3 linked regions of the Stegostoma tigrinum genome follow. The protein of the gene in region 1 interacts with the protein of each later gene in a pairwise test. Links are inferred from orthologs where the notes say so. Each region holds a gene or a part of one and is shown in the gene's direction. Other genes may lie near its edges.

Region 1 (7,184 bases):
CCAGCTCTTTTGTGACCACAGGCAACAGTTCCTGCAGGTGTATACCTGCTATCCAGGGAACTGTCAAAGTATTTACATTCCACACAACTCCCAGGTTCCTCAAATGTTCACTTCTCAATATCATCTCCACAGCTGCATTATGTGGTTCCCCCAGAGGTACTTCTAATGACCCTAATATGAAACTCTCAGACTGATGCTAAGCAGGGCTACAATGCCATCCATGCATTCACGAGGGCATTCTTCTAATAGACAATTAATATCTGAAAATGCTGTGATCCAAGATGGACAAGTTAAATCTGGGATACAATCATGTTTGATAGGTCACACTTTCTTTATTTTGGTTAATGTGGTGCACAGTCATTGAAATTTGGTCACATAAAACTGCAGCCTTTCTTCATCAGAAGAACACAAAAGAAACCAAGCAAAAATTAGAACGCAGCTTGAAAGATCTTAAAACACACAGCAAAACCGATTCTCATCCTGTTTCTTAACACACCTGTTATAGAGACTCAAATCCAGAGAAATTATCTCTCTATATCAAATCTTTAAGCTTGACTTAACTCATTCTCCTCAGTCTCTTCCTGTGAATTGTTAAGTAATCTTATATGAATATTCACAGAACTGAGAGCTTAGATTTCTCAGCTTTGAATAATCTGCACATTTATCAAGAAACACTGCTGGTTTACTCGTTTCACAAAATGATTTTTATACAGAGGTAACTGTGCTTTCCATGAACAGTCTTATACTCATTTTGAGGAGAAAAACTATATTTGCTTCAGGTCTCCTTCAAATAGCACTCAAAGCTTTCAATCTCTGAGTTTTCTAAGCTAAAATCAATCCTTGATTATCTTGAACCCAAAACAAGCTAATGGCCTTCAATATTTACCCATCTGTCATAAAAACAATCGATCATTATGCTCCGGGGCATCCTTGCTCTCTTGCACATATTGGATTAGATCTGACTGAGTTATTTTTTAAACCCTTCAGTAATCAACCCCATATGCCACAATTTGAAAACTGAAACTCTGAAAATGACATTAATACAAACATACAAACCTAATACCTTTTATCATAATGTTTTTTTTTCTATTCATTTTGTGGGATGTGGGCATCGCTGGCTTGCCAACGTTTATTGACCATCCCCAGTTGCCCTTGAGAAGGTGGTGGTGAGCTGCCTTCTTGGACTGCTGCAGTCCACCTGCTGTGGGTTGACCCACAATGCTGTTAGGGAGGGAATTCTAGGATTTGGACCCAGTGACACCGAAGGAACGGTGATATATTTCCAAGTCAGGATGGTGAGTGGCTTGGAGGGGAACGTGGAGGTGGTGGTGTTCCCATATATCTGCTGCCCTTGTCCAACTAGATAGAAGTGGTCGTGGATTTGGAAGGTGCTGTCTGAGGATTTTGGTGAATTTCTGTAGTGCATCTTGTAGACGGTACACACTGCTGCTACTGAGCATCAGTGGTGGAGGGAGTGAATGCTTGTGGATATGATGTCAATCAAGTGATCTGCTTTGTCATGGATGGTGTCAAGCTTTTTGAGTCTTGTTGGGGCTACACTCTTCCAGGCAAGTGGGGAGTATTCCATCACATTCCTGACTTGTGTCTTGTAGATGGTGGGCAGGCTTTGAGGAGTCAGGAGGTGAGTTACATGCTGCAGTATTCCCAGCTTTTGGCCTGCTATTGTAGCTAATCTGTCAATGTGGTGAGTCCAGTTGAGTTTCTGATCAATGGTAACCCCCAGGATGTTGATAGTGGGGGATTCAGTGATGGTAACACCATTGAATGTCAAGGGGTGATGGTTAGATTGTCTCTTATTGGTGATGGTCATAGCCTGGCAGTTCTGTGACACAAATGTCACTTGCCACTTGTCAGCCCAAGCCTGGATATTGTCCAGATCTTGTTGCATGTGAACACGGACTGCTTCAGTATAGCTGAGGAGTCACGAATGGTGCTGAACATTATGCAATCATTGGCGAACATCCCCATTTCTGACTTTCTCATGGAGGGAAGGTCATTGATGAAGCAGCTGAAGATGGTTGAGCCTAGGACACTACCTTGAGGAGAGCCTGCAGAGATGTCCTGGAGCTGAGATTATTGACCTCCTACAACCACAACCACAACCATTTCCTATGTGTCAGGTACGACTCCAACTACTGGAACGTTTGCCCGTGATACCCATTAATTCCAGTTTTGCCAGGGCTCCTTGATGCCATACTCAGTCAAATGCAGCCTTGATATCAAGGGCTGTCACTCTCACCTCACCTCTAGAATTCAGCTCTTTTGTCCATGTTGGAACCAAGGCTGTAATGAGATCAGGAGCTGAGTGACCTTAGTGTAACTCAAACTGGCCGTCACTGAGCAGGTTATTTCTGAGCAGGTATTGCTTGTTAGCACTGTTGGTGACAGCTTCCATCAGTTTACCGACAATCGAGCGGAGACTGATGGGGTGGTAATTGGCCGGGTTGGATTTGTCTCTGCCTGGATGATCAGAGGGCGCACTCTGGAATTCGCCAGACAGAACTGTGATTGTTTGCTGTGTACTAAACAACTTAGCTCATTTCTGAGATAGTAAGATCTGCTGATGCTGGAGTCAAAGATAACACAGTGTGGAGCTGGGAGAACACAGCAGGCCACGCAGCATCAGAGGAGCAGGAAAGCTGACGTTTCGGGTCGGGACCCTTCTTCAGAGGAAGATTTCTGAAGAAGGGTCCCAACCTAAAACATCAGTTTTCCTGCTTCTCTGATGCTGCCTGGCCTGCTGTGTTCTCCCAGCTCCACACTGTGTTACCTCTTAGCTCATTTCTGTTGTGAGAATGGAGAAGAGAGAACAATGGGCCATCCAACTGCCTCCTGAGACGAGAAAGAAAAGGAATCTGATCGAGCTTTCGCATGGCCCAATGCTGGTAATGGCTAATTATGGCATACAAGCATTTGTGCCTTCAAGAGAATGCTTGTTTCATACCTCTAAAACATTAAGATACTTTATTTGCATTAATTGTAAGTTAATTTGTTTCCTTGGCATCAATATTTCCTGGTGAGTTACCTGACCAGAGCATCAGCACAGAATTTGCAGGATTACAGGGGAATTGAGCTTTTACGAGTCGCCCAAGCCTCGATTTTCTCATTGACACCATTGTCAGTAGTGCTCTTTTTAAAGTCAGTCACTCCTAAGTTGGTACTGATTGTGGAACTGGAAATGGGGGAACAGAAGTAAATTGCTAATGGCATACAGTTACAACTTCAGGTTTAAAATCTATGGATTCTACAATGATTGAGGTAGTAGCTGGGTCTGGCTGAACTAAGGTTGGGTAGATGCTATGCATCTTGGTTTCATTGAAAATCCAGCAAGCAGGGAGACAGTGTTTACAATGATATACATAAATGTTGGGAAGAACAAAAGAAGAAAGTGCCAGTTTATTTACCCTCTCCAGGCTTTGGGCTATGTCCACTGTGCTTAGTCCTGTTCCAGTAAATGTGTCTTTCTCTGAACTTCAGCATGTGGCTTACAGTTTATCCTTATTCCAGCCCCATAACTTCTGCAGCCGTACCCTGCTTTGTTTATCCAATATTCTTCTCCCTGCCCTAATGCAATACATTATTTTCCAAGCCTTTGCGTTGGCCTTGTGCCTGGATTGTTGCCCTTCCAGTTGCAGAATTAGATGGATTCCTGTTAAACAAAGGAGTAACAAATTATTGGGGATAGGGGGGAATGTGGAGTAATCAGATTTGCCAAACTTTGGGGCGAGCTCGAAGCGCAGAATGGCCTAGTCCTGCTCCTCGTTTGTATGTTTGCACGCATCAGTGTTTACTATTTTAGTACTTTTTCTAATCTCCGCTTGTATTCTTCCTGGGCCAACATTATTACCTTTGAATTTCCCCAATACCTACATCATTAATTTTCCCTTTGTCCTATTACTATGTGTTATGACTGTCCCTATCTTTTCCATGTTTAATTTCGAATTCCTGAAACTTTTCCCGTTTTATCAGCGACCCGCCTACTCGCTGAATGCGTCGCCATTGATTGGTCGGTGCCGGGCAGGAGCCTGAGCCTGATTGGTTGAGTCTAGCTGACAGATTCTGCGGCAGTCCTGTTCGGCTCGGCTCGGCTCTGGGACCCGGGGAGCAGCGGTGGCCGTTGCGGGAGGGTCGCTTCCAGCCTGAGCTAGGCTCGGGCGCGGTGTGCTTGGTGAGTATAATGCTAATTTCCTGAACAGGGAGAAGTGCATTATCATCCTCACATCGGATAAGGGGCGGTGCAGGCTACAAGACACCTATTTGATGGAATGTGGTCGGTAGGGATCTACCCCTGTCTGCAGCGTCGTTGGGGGGGGGGCGTTATACCTAGGCTGAGCTTCAGCGGCAGCCGGGGTGGACTGGGCGTTTTGGGTCACAGCGGGGGTGCCTCTCCTGTCTGATAGGAGACCAGAGGGAGAGTGCTGTTTGTTTTTAAAGCCCTGCAGTGGTCTCCAGGTGCCAAACATGAAAACACGGCAGCGGAGAAAGCAGCTGCGTTAGCCAAAGACGGGGGTGGGTGGGAGAAAATCATTTGTCAACACAGATTGAATCAGGAGCACCTGACCAGAGAGAGCGAGAGAGAGAGCCAGGTCATTCTCACCAGAAGGACGTTGTTGCTTTCAGCAGCACGACGTTATAACACACAAGTCACCGGTTTCCCCCTCTTGCATTCTCTCAGGGCGAGAGCCTTAACCATCGGCCTGGCGACTCCGTTCAGCCGGCTGGTTCCGTTCTGTCCGAGGTGCGGATTTAACCCATGAGTAGCCCAGCTGCGAGCTAACCCTGCATTGCAGCTCTGTGGACTAACACCAGCTGGTAGGCATTAGTCTGAATGAATTCTGTTTCTGCAATTTTAGTTTATTAAGCTTGCGTTTTGATGTTTTTTTAATTACTAAGTGAAGGTATTTTCCATGGCTCGAATTCTTTCTGTAGATTGTAAGTAAGGTTAGGAGATGGTGTTTTCGCTCAGGCTACTGTACAGGCTGTTTCCCTGGCAACAGCATCCTCCTAGTGTCATTATGTGCACCTGTACAATTCCACTGCAATGCACAATGTGACCCTTCCAGCATTCCAATGGGCCTCCTTGAATTTGAGCCTGGAATGTGGGGTCTAGTGCATGTACTATTAACTAGCCCTTGAATTTGCTACTTTTCTTTGTCTGTGGTGGAAAATCATGGCAGATCCCTCTCCTGCATTTCTGGCATATCAAAGGTAATTGATCAAATGGTAGTAAATAGTATTGAGGTACAGATCAGCTATGATCTTATTCAAATGAGAAATAGGCAGAATGGGCTTGATATTTATATATTTATGTGAATTAAACTTTTTTGGTCATCTTATTGCTGCTGCATGAAGATATTTCTTGTCACAATTAAACCTGTTACACAGAGTAATGAGTTTAAAGGTTTTGATCAGTTTATTATTTGGTTTTGGGGTTGGCTAGATTGAGCAGAAAAAGTGCTGTGCCTGCTCTTGACCTTGTCATGTTATGTTGGTTAGTGTGGGAGGTACTGTTTCACCTCTGGGGCGATGGTATCAGTATCCTGGGACTGTGGGATGAGACGGTGTTTGCTAAGGAAGCCTTTCAGGTGTAGCAGGTATCTGGGAGTCTTCCTGGGGCAACCAGGTATTCAGCAACCACGGGGTTACGTACAAACCAACTCCACACCACCTCCCTTCTAGCATTGATTGTTACCTTTGTACTGAGGGAAATATGCAGTGGGGACAAATGGGACAATGTTGGTCAATTTCTATTCAACACTCCCTTTGCCAAAACAGTTGTGTTAGCTAGTTTCAGAGATAACCGGGTACATCCAAAATCATCATGCCCCCTAACCTGACTGCATTTAAATACGTGTAGCTGTGTTCATTGCTCAGCTGAATTGCCCTTTTATTTCTCCTCAACTTCAGTTGTGCCTAGTTCCACAAAGTTCTTCCTCTCTTCATCTTCACTGTATTGAAACTAAAAACCATCATGCACAGCTAGTGCCTCCTTTTACCAGGAGTTCAAAATGGTGAAGCCTTTACCCTGTGTATGTTGTGCTGAGAAACCCACTCATCTCTGACTATGTAACTGGGTGGAGGCATTTCATCTCTCAGAAATGAGGGTACCATCCTGGCCAAAGTTTGGGTTTGGGTGATTTCCTGATTTCTTGTCTCATGGGTCAAATTCTTTTTTCCTCCTTTTAAACAGTTAAAATGCTGCTGACGCTTGTGATGTAATAACATTCTGTGGTTTGGCAAAGGGAAGAGTTCCATGCGGTGATAGATCAAATCTAAGTTATAGTGCTCACTTTACAGCCCTGAGTTGCTGGAATATGTTTTAGCACATGTGGAAATATGACATCCCAGTGGTACATGTGCTACAGTTGATCCTAGAGCAGTCTCCTGACCTGGTTGACAACACCTGTGTAGTTTATAACTACATTCAATAAAGCTTCACTCTCTGTCCTCTGTTTTACCCTATTCAGCCTGATCATCTCCAACTGAGACTGGAAAAGCCCCAAATTTCTTCAGCCTGTTCTTGTTGGTATTGCTTCACTGGGGTAATGCTGCAGGCACCTCGGGCACAGAGTGATTGATTTATAAAGCAGGAATTATGAGTTGTTCTCAGGTGCAGTTGGTTGGCAGTAGCAACACTGAAACGTTTTGACTCATTAAAGGGTAACACATTTGCTGTTGGTGTGCATGCTACAAAATGTCAGTAAGGAGCTGGAGTCCGTGGTATTTATACCATAAGCATTCATTGCAGAGAGAGAGGCAGACATTTGGTTTACGTATGGCTTGAAGATGCTATGCTGGGTAAGATGACAAAGCAGAATAACTGCAGTATTGTTGATGTTACTTCCCAGGCTTGTGTTCAAACCTGCCAAGCAGGGTCTAGGCCCAAAACGTCGGCTTTCTTGCTCCTCTGCTGCTTGGCCTGCTGTGTTCATCCAGCTCTACACCTTGTCACTTCCGATTCTCCAGCATCTGCAGTTCCCACTACCTCTGAAACAGGGAGCAATCTGGTTGCCAGTACAGTGATTGTTTAAATTGACTGAACGGAAGTTGCTGCGTTATGTTCAAAATCCTGCACTGGCCACTTGTACCATGTGCTGCGTGCACTTGATTCTGGTTTCTCGGGATTGCTTGCTGGAATTTCTGCAGCACTGTGGCAATTTGTT
Region 2 (7,080 bases), on another chromosome or scaffold:
TCTAGGCATGGTCTGACTAGTGTTCTGAAGTGTGAACACTGGACCTGAAATTATTAAGAATTATTATGAATAATGGATTCTTAAGAATATTCAAAGCTGGGATAGAAGATATTCAATCAGTAAGGGAATCGAAGGTTATGGGGATAAGGCAGGAAAGTGGAGTTGAGGATTATCAGATCAGTCGTGATTTCATTGAATGACAGAGCAGACTCTACGGGCCAAACAGCATTCTTCTGCTCCTATGTCTTATGGTCTAAAGTATGATTACTTGATCACAACAGTGCTTACAGAGGATATTCTTAGGTGGTCATCAAATGAGACCATATGGTTAGAACTTAGAAACAAGAAGGGGATGGTCACTCTGTTGGGGCTGTATTATAGACCTGCAAATAGCCAGTGGGTACTAGAGGAGCAGATACGGAGAGAGATTGCAGATACCTGTAGGAATATTAGACTAGTATTGGTTGGAGGTTTTAATTTCCCCTGTATTGACTTAGCCATCCACAGTGTAATTTGTTAAATGTGTCCAAGTTTCCGAAATCAATACATAGAGGACCCAACTTGGGAGGTTGCAACACTGGGCCTCCTGTTAGGAAACAAGGTTGGACAAATGACTGAAGTGTCAGTCGGAGAGCACGTTGGGTCCAGTGAGCATAACTCTCATAGTTTTAACATAGTTAAAGTAAAGATAGGACAATCCACAGGTTAAGGTGTTAAACCAGAGCAAAGCTAATTTTGGGACCATTGGGCAGGATCGAGCAGAGGTCGATTGGGTGAGTCTGTTTGAAGGAAAAGGAACAACTGGCAAATAGGAGGCTTTTAAAAGTGTGATATCAAGAGCCCGGGGCAGTGTATCCCTGTTAGGGTGAAGGGAAAAGCTGGCAGGTTTAGGTTTTCCTGGCTGACGAAGGATAGTGAAGCTCTGGTCAGGAAAATGAAGAAGGCACACGTTGGATTTAAACTATTGCCTCAAGTGGATCCCTAGATGTAGGAGCACACAAGACAGAAATCAGAAGAGCAAAGGGGTATGAGAGGGATCTGGCAGATAAGACTGAAGATGATCCCAAGAGGTTCTATAGCTTTATTAAAAGTGAAAGGGTGGCTGGGGAGAGAGTAGCTCCCTTTAAAGATCAGCACGGTGATTTACATGTAGAGCCATAGGAAATGGGTAAGATTGTTAATGAATATTTTTCCTCAGTGTTTACTGAGCAGAGAATCATGAATGCTAAGGAAATAAGGAAAGCAAGTAGGGAAGATCTGAATGTGAATGTACAAGGTATAATTAGTAAGTTTGCAGATGATTCAAAATTGGGATGTATTATTGGTATCGAAGGTTATCGAAAATTACAGATGGATCTTGATCAAATGGAGTTCAATTCAATACAGGCAAATTTGAGGTTTCGCACTTTGGAAAGTCAAACCACAGTAGGACTTATACCGTAAATGGTAAGGTCCTGATGAGTGTTGTGGAACAGAGGGACTGAGGAGTACTAGTACATAGTTTGTTCAAAACAGCAAAACAGGTGGACAGGATGGTGAAGAAGGCATTCAGCATGCTTATCTTCGTCAGTCAAGGCATTGAGTATCAGAGTTGGGACATTATGTTACAGTTGTATAACTCATTGGTGAGGCCACACATGGAGTATTTTGGTCACCCTGTTAGAGGAAAGACATAGTTAAACTGGAAAGTGTGCAAAGAATATTTACGAGGATGTTGCCAGAACTAGTAGGCCTGAATATAGGGAGAGCTTGGCCAAGATGGGACTTTATTCCTTCGAACATAGGAGAATGAGGTATATAAAATCATGAATGTGCAGATACATAGGTCCCTTAAAATGGCCACCCAAGTGGACAGGGTTGTTAAGAAAGCATATAGTGTTTTGGCTTTCATTAACAGGGGGATTGAGTTTAAGAGTCGTGAGATCTTGTTGCAGCTGTACAAAACTTTGGTTAGACCGCACTTGGAATACTGCATCCAGTTCTGGTCGCCGTATTATAGGAAAGATGTGGATGCTTTGGAGAGGGTTCAGAGGAGGTTTACCAGGATGCTGCCTGGACTGAAGGGCTTATCTTATGAAGAGAGGTTGACTGAGCTCGGTCTCTTTTCATTGGAGAAAAGGAGGAGGAGAGGGGACCTAATTGAGGTATACAAGATAATGAGAGGCATAGACAGAGTTGATAGCCAGAGACTATTTCCCAGGGCAGAAATGGCTAGCACGAGGGGTCATAGTTTTAAGCTGGTTGGAGGAAAGTATAGAGGGGATGTCAGAGGCGGGTTCTTTACACAGAGAGAGTTGTGAGAGCATGGAATGCGTTGCCAGCAGCAGTTGTGGAAGTAAGGTCATTGGGGTCATTTAAGAGACTGCTGGACATGCAAATGGTCACAGAAATTTGAGGGTGCATACATGAGGATCAATGGTCGGCACAACATTGTGGGCTGAAGGGCCTGTTCTGTGCTGTACTGTCCTATGAAGGGCATAGATAGGATGAATACATATTTTCCCAGGGATGGGGAATTGAAAACTAGATGGCATAGGTTTAAGGTAAGAGGGGATAGATTTAAGAAGGACCTGAGGAGCAACTTCTTCACCCAGAGTGGTGTGTATATGGAATGGGCTGCCAGAGAAAGCGGTTGAGACGGGCACAATAGCAACATTCAAAAATTATTTGGATATTTTCATAGATGGGAAGGGTTTATAAGGATATTGGCCAAATGCAGGCAATTGAAACTAGTGAACTGGGCACCAAGGTCAGCATGGACCGGTTCTGACCAAAGGGCCGTTTCCATGCTGTACTACTGTGACTGTCCACAGATGCTGCCAGACAACTGAGTTTTTCCAGCAATTTCTGTTTTTGTTTATGGCATGACTAGTGCCTTTTATAGTTTTAGCAAGACTTTCCTGTTTTTACACTCTGTTCCTTTTGAAACAAAGACCAACAGTCCATTTAACTTTCCTATTACTTATCAAGATTGAACTTGTGATTCAGGCACAGGGACCCCCTTGATTTTGCTGCTTTCTGCAGTCTCTATTTAAATAAATTTCATCTCTTCTATTCTTTGCACCAAAGTGCATAATCTCACATTTGCCCCACATTGTATACCATCTGCCAAGTCTTTGCCCACTCACTTAATCTGTCTATATCTTTCTGTAAACTTTGTGTCATCCTCACAACTTGCATTCTCACCTATTGTTCCATATTCCCCACCTGTGCCAAACAGCGTATTGTTTGCTAATTTGGGTAGCACGGTGGCTCAGTGGTTAGCACTACTGCCTCAAAACACCAGGAACCCAGGTTTGATTCCACCCTCAAGTGACTGTCTGTGTGGACTCCCCGTGTCTACGTGGGGTTCCTCTGGGTGCTTTGGTTTCCTCCCACATAACAAAGATGTGCAAGCTAGGTGAATTGGCTCAGCTAAATTGCCCATAGTGTTCAGGGATGTGCAGATTAGGTGGGTTATAGAGAGATGGGTCTGGGTGGGATGCTGTGAGGGTTGGTTGGGCCGAAGTGCCTATTTCCACACTATAAAGATTCTATGATCTTTGATGTCTGCTGGTGGAACACAGCTCATTTTTTCTTGCCATGTTGACAGACTACTTTTCTATGGTTCCATTTGGATATGTCAGAATTTCCAGTTAGGATGACTACACATGACAAATTGTCTGTCAGAGTAGCGTAGGTGCTGGTAGACCATTAAAACAGTTCTGGTAGTGAAAGGCAGGTAGGTGCTGTGTACTGTGATCACAGTTGTTCCTTATACCACACTATTTACCATGAATTGACCAAAATTGGTTCCCACCGGTCAGTATGAAATGGCACATAGTGGTTCGTTCTTCTCATGTTACCAATAACTAATCCCCGAGAGTCCTTCCATTGACCATCGACTAACCCACAACAGCTTCTTGCGTACTAATGGATGACCCTTCACCTGACACCACCACCCTGCATGTGTCATGTGACCAGGTGACGTAGGGCCGAGGGTTCCTGGGTTGAACTCTCGCGAGGTGTCAGCTCGCTTGTCCGTGAGCAAGAATCAGCCCTTGTGGTAAGTTTGTAAACAACGATAATCAGTAATCTAGACGGCTCCGGGCTTCTTGTCATGACGTTTGGAGCGGCGTTTATTTTCACAATGAGCTCTGATCATGGGGCTGGGGTGTGTGAGCGGCGAGCCGCTCCGGGGTGGGTCTGTTCACGAACGTTATTTGTTAATATGGCGACGCTCCCCGGCCGCTGGGGCTCTGATTCCTGAGGCTTCCTTCCAGTTGGAGGAGGTTTCCTCACAGTGCAGGTTACTCCTCTTCTCTGGAGCCACACAAATTCCCGAGTAACCGCTTGTGTTGAGTAAAGGGCGGGGTCTTTCTGGTCTTGAATCGTGGTGCTCTTCTAGACGTGGACACATCTGTATGAGACGAACGGTAGAAAATCCAACCAGTGTCTCGTTTCCTCGAAAGCAGACCGGTAGTATCCTTGTCATTGGTATTGCTGTATTGTAACCGAGTCAAATCGTACATTGGGAACGTTAATGCGATTCACACAGCAAGTTGAACCAAAATTTGTAGCATCTTGTTATTGATGATGTACCGTATGAAATCCTGCACCTCAAACCAAACGAATCGCGTTTAATCTTATAATTGGTTTCAGGTTCTGAAGGAATTAATTAAGAGTCAATAATGGCTACTTCCCAGCCGTGGAAAGTATAAATACTGCTTCTGTTTCCTTCAGTAATAAACAGTTTTAAAATCCGATAGGCAAGTATATTTGTTAATGGGAAACTCGGGTGTAGGCCAAAAGTCCATACTACCTATCGACACCACTAAGGTAAATCAAAATTAAGTGACGCCAAGCTTAGTTTTCAAAATCTTGTCGAAGGAATTAAAAAAAGAATTCCACAGTTTTGAAAACAAGCATTCATCAGAAGGAAAAATACTTTGTAGGGCATGTGTTTGATACTTAGGAAACAGGAAGCAAAGTTTGAAGCAACACTAGGGTGGAATCATAGCACAAAAAAGAAACACGCTTGAGAGTGAACGGGCCTCTTGTTGTTTTCAGCAATATTAGAAAGGTGGCGGAAGGAACTGTCTAAATTGACAGCAGAATTGAAGTCTTGATTTTATTGTGTCATTGAGGGGAAAGTAATAAATGTTTGAAACATGACAGTGTAGGTTCCTACATTAAATGATGTGGGATTGCTGTTTGAAGTCACAAGAACTGTGCAGTCCAATGTTAACCGTTGACAGACAAGGACAATGGATGAAAAATCAAAAACATGGTAGCAGTACAATATATACTTGCCAGAGATTGAGGAAATGGTATGTATTTTAAAAAACTGAAAAAATAAATTGGTTCAGTGATGCTGCTTCATAGCAAAATGATTTATCTGTTGGACTTTTGAAGGACTGGCATACATTGAACGTAGAATAGAATCATGAAAAGCATGAGTGGGGGTGAATGATCAGTGTAAGTCATTGATCTGAAGATGGAACCAGATGAGGCAAATAAGAGGACCCTGGGGATTTCTTGCTTTAAGGGAAAAGGAGTCTAAGGAAGATGAATCAACTACGGCACAGATGGTAATTGAGAACTGTAAATGTATTTTTAATGGGGCTTCCAAATAAGTTTAGAAGTACATGGTGCCAGATTTCAGCAAAGGTTATGTGTTGTCTGAGCAATAACCAATGATTCAGAAAAGGATTATTTCATGACTTTAAAAATGATTACACTTTTGAATACACAATTGTTAAATGCACCCAGTAAGCATACACTTGATATATATTGATTTAACTTGGGCTGTAGATACTTGTAATCAACCCATTTAGACAAGTTATGACACACTCTGGAGCAGTTGGGAGTTGAATCCAATCCTTCTGGCTCAGAGGTAAGAACACTATCACTACATCACAAGAGCTCCCCAATTCAGGCTGTAACCTTAGCAGTTAACAAATGCAGAGGTTTGTTTTAGAATCTGATGTAATAGCACAGGAGGGGGCCATTTGGTCCATTTTGTATGTGCCAGTCAACAAAGATCTGACTACACTAATCCCATATTTGTCCATGGCCCTAGAGGTTCTGACAGTGCAAATGAATATCTAAATACTGCTTAAATGTTAGAGTTTTTGATCTGACCACCCTCTCAGGCAGTTCGTTCCAGGAAATTTTCTCGTCAACTTAGCCGTCAACCTCTTACCTTAAATCTATGCCCCCTCGTTTTTGTTCTCTGTACTAATGGAAAGAAATACCTTCCTATCAATGTCCCTCGTGATCTTGAACACCTCTATCAGGTCACTTCTCAACCTTAACTGCTGGAAGGAAAATAATTCCAACTTGTCCAGTCTTTCCTCATATACACTCTTGCACCATCCTGCTAAGTATCCCCTGCATCCTCTCAAGCAGAACAACACCCTTCCTCTAATGTGTTGATCAGACATCATACAGTGCGTCAATTGTGGCTTAATCCTCATGTTATACAATTTGAGTATAACCTCACTGCTCTTGTACTCTGTGCCTTGGCTAATAAAAGCAAATATCTAATTTGACTTACTTATCTGCAGTACTACCTTCAGGAATATGCATGTCAAGTTCTCTTTGGTCTTCGTTACTTTCCTGGTTTCTACCACTCATAGCTGTCTTTTTAGGATGGTGGAGTTTGCACGTTCTCCCCAAGGCTGCATAGGCTTCTTCCCGGTGTGTTGGTTTCCTTGTGTAGCTTGAGCTGATTGGCCATGCTAAATTGCCCATAACATCAAGGGATGTGCAGGCTAGGTGGATGAGTCATGGGAAATGTAGGGTTATGGGGAAGGGGGAATGCGGCCTGGATGTTGGTGTGGACTTGATATACCAAATGACCTGCTTCCACGCTGTGGGGATTCTATGATTCAATGTCAGACAAAGACAGAAGCTCTTCGCTCTATGAAGTGAAGATATTTAGTTTCAAAGTTATAAAATATCAAATTATCTATGTAATTTTATGTTGCACTTGGTGTAAATTGTTACACAGCCACAAGCAGTGTTCCTGTTAATTTTTGCTTCTGCGTGGACCTCTTGAGATCTGAGCATGGCAGTGGCTTCTGGAACTGAAAGTCA
Region 3 (7,494 bases), about 7.8 Mb from region 1:
AGCCAGTGTTATTCCCTTGCTTAAGATGGGAAGCAGGGTTAATCAGGAAATTATTGACTGGTGAGCTTGATATCAGTGGTGGGAAAGCTCCAGGAGAAGGTACTGAGGGACAGCATATATGCACATTTGGAAGAAAATGTGTGTGTTAGATACGGGCAGCATGCTTTTGTACAGGGAAGGTCATGTCTTACCAATCTAATTGAATTTTTTGAAGACAAAGATAATGAATGAGGGAAGGGCTGTTGATGTAGTTTATGTGGACTTTTGTAAGGCATTTGATAAAGTCCCCCATGGCAGATTGGTACAAAAAACTAAAATTGCATGGGATTCAGAGTGGGCTGGTCAAATGGATACAAGACTGGCTTGGTCATAGAAGACAGAGGGTAGTGGTGGAAGGGTGTTTTTCAAAATGGAGCCAGGTAACTAATGGTGCTCCACAGAGATCATTATTGGGTCCTTTATTGTTTGTAGTGTATATAGATGATCTGGATGAAAATGTGGGTGGTCTGATTAGTAAGTTTGTAGACGACACAAAGGTTGGTGGAGTTGCTGATAGTGCCAACGATTGTGAAAAGGTACAACAGGATATAGTTAAATTAATGACTTGGACACAGAAAAGATAGATGGAGTCTAATCCAGACAAATCTGAGGAGATTCATTTTGGAGGGTCAAATTTAGGTGCGAATTATACTGTAAATGGCAGAACCCCTAGGAACATTAAAATACAGACAGATCTGGGCCTGCAGTTCCCTAAAAGAGGCAACACAGGTAGCCAAGGTGATTAAGAAGGCATATGGCATGCTTGCCTTCAATGGCTTGGTGTGGAGCACAAGAGTTCGTGAAGCATGTTGTAACCATTTACAATCCTGGTTAGGCTGCATTTGCAGTATTGTGTGCAGTTTTGATTGCCAAATTACCAGTAGCATGTGGAAGCTTTGGAGAAAGTACAGAGAGGGTTCACCAGGATATTGCCTGGTCTCAAGGGCATTGGTGATGAGGATAGGTTAAAAAGACTAGGTTTGTTTTCACTGGAAAGACAGCAGCTGAGAGGAGACCTGATAGAGGTCTACACAATACTGCATAGTGCATAGTCAGAGGCTTTTTCCCAGGGTTGAAGTTTCAGTAACGAGGGGGTACAGGTTCAAGGTGAGAAGAGGAAAGTTCAGGGGAGATGTGTGAGGAATGTTTTTCACACAGAGAGTGGTAGGAGCCTGGAATGCAGTGCCAGAGGAGGTTGTGCAAGGAGATAGGTTGGTGACATTTTACAGGCACCTGGATAATTACATGAATAGGGAGGGAATAGAAGGATACGACTGAATAAGGGCAGAAGGTTTGTTTTTCAGTTTAGTCGGGGCATGATGATCAGCACAGGCTTGGACGGCCGAAGGGCCTGTTCCTGTGCTGTGCCTCTCTTTTGTTCTCGTTTGTTTGTTCTCTTATAAAAGTAGGGAGGTTTTGCTAAAACTATGCAAGGCACTGGCCAAGCCACAGCTGCAATAATGTTGAGCATTTTGGGCCCCTTACCTAAGAAAGCTATCAAGGCATTGTAGGAAGCACAGTGAAGGTTCACTGGGCTGACACCAGCTACAAAGGGACCGTCCTATGAGAAGAAATTGAGCAGATTGGGCCTGTACTTATTGGAATATAGAATTTTGACCTTACTGAAACTTACATGAGGGGCATGACAGGGTGGTGAATCTGTGGGATTGTGGTGATGTGGGGAGTGCTATGGACATTATTGGTGATTAATGAAGTGGATGCTGGGGTTAATATTGGCTGATTTCAGTTATGTGAATGGGGAGGTACATGTCCTGGGCAGTGACAAACTGGAGAATAGGATTAACCTGCAGTCATCTGTGGCTGCCCATATTTAATTGCACTCTCTGTGATGCCACTGAATAGCAGGTAATATGGAGAACAGGAGGCTGATCCAATATCACGCCCCCTCCCCCTCACCCCCGATTCTGTCACTGCCGGTGATAAATTTGTATCGTACTCTCATAGCATCAGAGTTAGTGATCAATTGTCCTGTTTCCTGCTGTTTCGCTTCCTGCTCTGTACCAATCTTATTGCAGCATTACCTACGGTACAGCTAAGCTCCTCTGAGGACTGACTGCTGAATGAGATACACTCACAGGAAGATCCATGCTCCATCCTCAGTCTGCATTCACAGACTCGGCCAGGAAAATAATTAATCCCTGTGGCTTGGAAAGATTAAATTCTGCCAGGGTCCCAGTGGGCTGGCCAACCTCTCAGGATCTCAGCGTTTAGAAATACACACACACAAACACACACACGGGAATGCACACATGCACACACATGCATGCATTCGAATAGGCAAACACACAAATACTTGCATACAGACACATGCATCCACAAATACACACCCACTTGCACATTCATATGGAAAACATAAAAAGCCTCAGATATGCAAGCACGCTCAGACATACTGATACATACATGGATTCAAATATACCGATATACACATACGTACATATCTATAGAAACACACAGGTACACATAAATATGCACAAAGACACACGCACACATACATATCTGCAGAAACACACAGGTACGCATAAACATGTACCAAGACACACACACTCTCACATATGGACTCACATACACATACATACAGACACAGACAAGCACAACCTCAGGCACAGATACACATACAAATACAAACAGACAAATCAGACACACTAGGGAAACACAATTGCACTCATAGTCACACATACAAACACGCGGACACATGCACAGACTCACAAAGGTCAAAGACATACTCGCAGATACATGCAGAAACACAATGAAATGCATGCAAACACACATGCAGATACACACACACATGTACAGAGACAGATATACATAGACACAGATACACTTACGTCCAAAGATATACTTATACAAATCCAGATGTATAGACACAGATATACTCACATACACACATCAACAGACAGACACACCCACACACATACACACAGACACAAACATAGGCCTACTCATACACACTTTCAGCTAGATACATACAAACAGATGCAGATAAAGGAAAAGTCACCATAGTCTTACCAGACCATAGGGCTGCTCTCTCATGAGACAGAGATGGCTGGTGGTGGTTTAATCTGAGGATCATCATACCTCAGGTGACAGGAGAATTTGAGAAGGTGAGACTTTCAAGGTAACCTCAGCCAGTATGGGAATTGAATCCACACTGCTGGCATCACATGCACACAGTGACACACAGGCACATGGTCACACACCCTGACACAGTCACACACACATGCATGTCATGTACAGTGCCATGAACATGGGCACACACCCAGCCTCGTCACACACACAGTTACACAGGCAGAGTCACATTGACACAGTCATGCACCCACACAGACTCTGTTACATTCAGTCATGTCCATGCAGCACTACACACAGCGGTCAAACACACGGTAACACAGTCACACCCATACTCACGTGGGTGCATGCGTCTATTCAATGTATACACATGGATGTGGATATAGATACACTGATGGACACAGACAGACTCACGTACAAACACATAGACTGGCACACACAGACAGACACATGTAAAGGCATATAGACACAGACATACACACAGAGATACAGAGACACAGATACAACACAAGCATAGATGGATACACAATGATGCACACAGACACACAAGCACACATTGGCATGCATGCACAGGCACATGCACAGACACATGCACAAATGGGTACACAGGCACATGCAAACATACATTTGGAGACACAAATACACACAGGCACAGACAGATACTGACGCAAATTCACAACACAGATGTTACATCTGTAACACTCTGGACACAATGTATACACATTCACACCCGCGCACACACATCGTCAGAAACACACAAACACAAAATTGCGAGCTTAAAGACATTGACAAAGTTTACCCACAGTTTTTTCTTTGTATACATACAGTGGTATCAACCTGGGGGCTATTTCTGAGGAGGCTCCCTGGCTGGATTTGCCCTGTGTACAGCTGACGGGGCAGCAGTTGGAGGAGGACAGTGTCTGTGAGTGTTGAGCACGGCCTGATCTTTCCTCTCCTCCCGCCCCTCTGCATCTCCCCCCTCTCTGCCGGCCTGTTCCTCTTTCTCTACACGTCCTACAGTTTGCCTCCAGCTCTCGGTGCTGCTGAGTGCGTGAGCGGTGACGGGGAGGGGGATAGACTGTGTGTGTGTGTGTGTGTGTGTGTGTGTTGAGGGTGGGGGGCGGGGGGAGTGCTGCTGGAGCCGGCCTGAAGCTGCTGGGAACCCGGGGGGGGGGCGGAGGTGTTGGGGGGCTGGGTGGTAGGTGCGTGGGGAGGGGATAGGGCGGGGGGGGGGGTTGCAGGGAGGGGTGTGAGGGGAAGGGGATGGTCTGCAGGATGTGAGGAAGATGTGTGATCAGGCAGCTCGCTACTGCAGGGACAGCGTCCAGCAGCAACTCCGTGACACGCAGCCGCCTGTGCACCGCGGTATCAGGGGGCTGGACGGCGTCCTGCGCTGGGTCCTCACCAAAATGAGCGACAAGAAGTTCGGGGACAGGGAATCTCAGAAAACTGAAGGGGCACCTTCCAGGCAGCAGGTGGCCGCGGACACCAAGAAAGGCATCTCAGTTATCCTGGACGTAAGTAGTTTTCTGTCTCTTCCTTTCCCCGCCTGGAGTCAGAGACCAACTTTCATATTTTAGTGGTTACCCATCCTCAATTGACCAAGGGACTGATTCAGATCCGCCCTGCGGAATCCTTCCCCGGCAGGTGGGACTGTCTATGGATAGAGTCAATAGGAACGGACTGGGCTCGAGTCGGAAGGAGCTGCCCGAGGATGAAAGCTGAGAGGGGCATGCGGTGGAGCGAGACAGAATATCCGAGAAAGTGATGGGGAGAGAGATGGAGAACTCCAGCAGAGGGACATGCAGAGACAGAGAGAATGAGTTAGAGACAAGGATACAGAGAGGCAGAGAGAGAAAGAGGGGCATGCAGGGAGAGGGGCGAGGGACAGAGACGGAGAGAAGGCGATGGAGAGAGAGAAACGGTAAGGGACAAGAGAGGGAAAGCAAAAGAAAATAAGTGAGACAGACACACACGGAATGGCTACGGAGGGATTGAGAGAGAGTGAAGCTGACAGGGAGAGAGCAAAAGCGGAATAGAGCGACCTACAGAGAGGCGAGAGAAACGGAGAGCAAAACAGTAAGTGAGAAACAGAGAGTGAAACACAATGAGTGATAATGAGAGCAACTTACAGAGACGGAGAGAGAAACTGCAGAAAGCGGGGGGGGGGGGGCGAGGGAAGAAGGAGACAAAGGGAAATAGATGGATAAAGACAGAAGAGAGCAGAAAAACAGAGGGAGAATTAGAAGGAAGGAAAGTGAGACAGAAAGAGAGGCAATCTGTTGGCAGGGAGTGAATTTAATATGAAAGTTAGATGGATGTATGAATAGAAACATTAAATTCCGAAGAGTGTGTGTCTGTTCGATAGTTTTGGCTATGTCTCTATTGCCTGGCTTGTAATGTAACAGTAAATACTGCAGGCAAGTTGGGGGCATTCAGAGTGAATGATTTCGGTTTGAAATTCTGCTGAGTGAACGAAGAAATTGATCTTTTAAAATTCTGTTTTCTCCACGTCTCTAGATATTCAGAAGAGCTGATAAAAATGGTAAGTGCAGAATCATTTTGGTGCATGTTTAATTTATATTAGTCTCATTTTCAGAGGTATTTTTAGGAATGATGCAGAGGGTGAAAGGGTTAAATTGCAAGGACAGTGTGTAAACTTAGCTCATATCCCCTTGGTGGGACTGACTGCAAGTGCATCTGGTTGTGGTGATTAAAATATACATTAAGATTCGGTTGGGATAATATGAAGAGGCGTTATCCTCTTAAATGTTTACCGTTATCTCAAGCAGCTTGGAATCAAATTGTGTTTCCAATAGAACAGAGCCTTGGTTGGACCACATCTGCAGTACTGTGTTTACTTCTGAACAGTGCAACTCAGGAGGTATATAGAGTGTTGGCAAAGATTCACATGGATTTGATTGGGGCTTCAAGGGTTAAAGGCAGTCAGAGATTCTCAGGTGAATCCAACCAGAGGCAGAGTGGGTCAATAGACATCAGCTACAGATCAGACTGAATCTCAACACAGATCCTGTTCAGGAGTTTGCCTTTCAGCCATTGTCTCTTCACCAACTATCTGAATGAATATCTCACCTAGTGTCATTCTTTCTGTAACCTTGCACTTTGCTCCTTTTCCAATTAACCATTTGATTTCCCCTTGTAAAGCCTTGTTTGAACCAGCCTCTACCATCCTCTCAGGCATTCCATCGCAGATCTGAAGCACTTGCTGCACAGACGAGATTATCCTCGAACCACTTTAGCTTCTCTCACAAATTCTCTGAAACCTGTGGCCTTCATGTCCTCAATCCTTTCAAGAGGAGGAACAGGTTTTCCTTTTACTGTTTGGGTGCCCCATGATTTTGAACATCATCCAGATCTCCTCCCAGCCTTCTCCTCTCTGAGGAGAACTGTCCGAGCTTCTCTAATCAGTCTTCATACGTGAAATTCCTCATCCCAGCAACCATTCTGATAAATTCCTTGTTTAACCTCTCCAATGCCTTCACATTGCCCTGAAAGTGCACTGTCCAGAACAGAACTGAAGCTGAGCTGATAGACTGAATGGCTTTTCTGGCCCTTTAATGATGAATAAGGGCTTCTCCTGAAAGAGATTGAGAGTTTTACACACAACTGTTAGAAGACCTAAGATGATACTGTGAACAGTCTAAATATTAGAATTGAACCTGAGCTTGAATGAAAACAAATTTATGCTCAAAAGGGTTGATTAATTCTGATTTCTGCTCTGAGAAGCCAAACGCAGGGGCAGCGGGTCCCACACACACACGGACTCTCACTGAGGTATGGGATCCCACACACAAACTGACGCTCACTGGGGCAGTGGGTCCCACACATGCACTGACTCTCACTGGGTAACGGGGTCACACACACACACACACACACACACACACACACACACACACACACACACACACACTCACACACACACTCACACACAGACTCTCACTGGGGCGGTGGGTCCCACATACACACTGACTCTCACTGGGTAATAGGATCCCACAGACACTGACTCTCACTGAGTAACGGGGTCCCACACACACACTGACTCTCACTGGGGCAGTGGGTCCCACATACACACTGACTCTCACTGGGGCAGTGGGTCCCACATACACACACTGACTCTCACTGGGTAACAGGATCCCACAGACACTGACTCTCACTGGGGTACGGGGTCCCACACACACTGTGGTACAGTCCCACACGCATTAACTCTCACTGTGGTACAGTCCCACACACTCTGGAAGTATTGTGTCAGGCAGCTGGACAGTGCAGCTGACTAGCAATAACCAGTGCTTTGATGTTAGGGATGTATCTGAGAGGGAACACTGATATTGGAACAGCCAATCTGCCATTAGA

The links. The genes of interacting proteins can lie anywhere in the genome.
Region 2: the proteins of kifc3 (region 1) and atf2 interact in binary tests that used the Homo sapiens proteins (3 or more experiments, as listed by UniProt). The two-hybrid records come from large-scale screens. The link is inferred for Stegostoma tigrinum from reciprocal best matches to the Homo sapiens genes KIFC3 and ATF2.
Region 3: the proteins of kifc3 (region 1) and necab2 interact in binary tests that used the Homo sapiens proteins (3 or more experiments, as listed by UniProt). The two-hybrid records come from large-scale screens. The link is inferred for Stegostoma tigrinum from reciprocal best matches to the Homo sapiens genes KIFC3 and NECAB2.

The regions. Positions count from the first base shown.
Region 1 is NC_081369.1:11,092,508-11,099,691, reverse strand, and holds the start of kifc3 (kinesin-like protein KIFC3), read left to right. Parts: upstream 1-4,082; 5' UTR 4,083-4,189; intron 4,190-4,618; exon of another isoform or gene 4,619-4,751; intron 4,752-7,184. UniProt on the Homo sapiens protein: Minus-end microtubule-dependent motor protein. Involved in apically targeted transport. Required for zonula adherens maintenance.
Region 2 is NC_081360.1:47,008,793-47,015,872, forward strand, and holds the start of atf2 (cyclic AMP-dependent transcription factor ATF-2), read left to right. Parts: upstream 1-3,973; 5' UTR 3,974-4,045; intron 4,046-4,110; exon of another isoform or gene 4,111-4,458; intron 4,459-7,080. UniProt on the Homo sapiens protein: Transcriptional activator which regulates the transcription of various genes, including those involved in anti-apoptosis, cell growth, and DNA damage response.
Region 3 is NC_081369.1:3,295,943-3,303,436, reverse strand, and holds the start of necab2 (N-terminal EF-hand calcium-binding protein 2), read left to right. Parts: upstream 1-4,387; 5' UTR 4,388-4,409; coding exon 4,410-4,640; intron 4,641-5,643; coding exon 5,644-5,668; intron 5,669-7,494. UniProt on the Homo sapiens protein: May act as a signaling scaffold protein that senses intracellular calcium.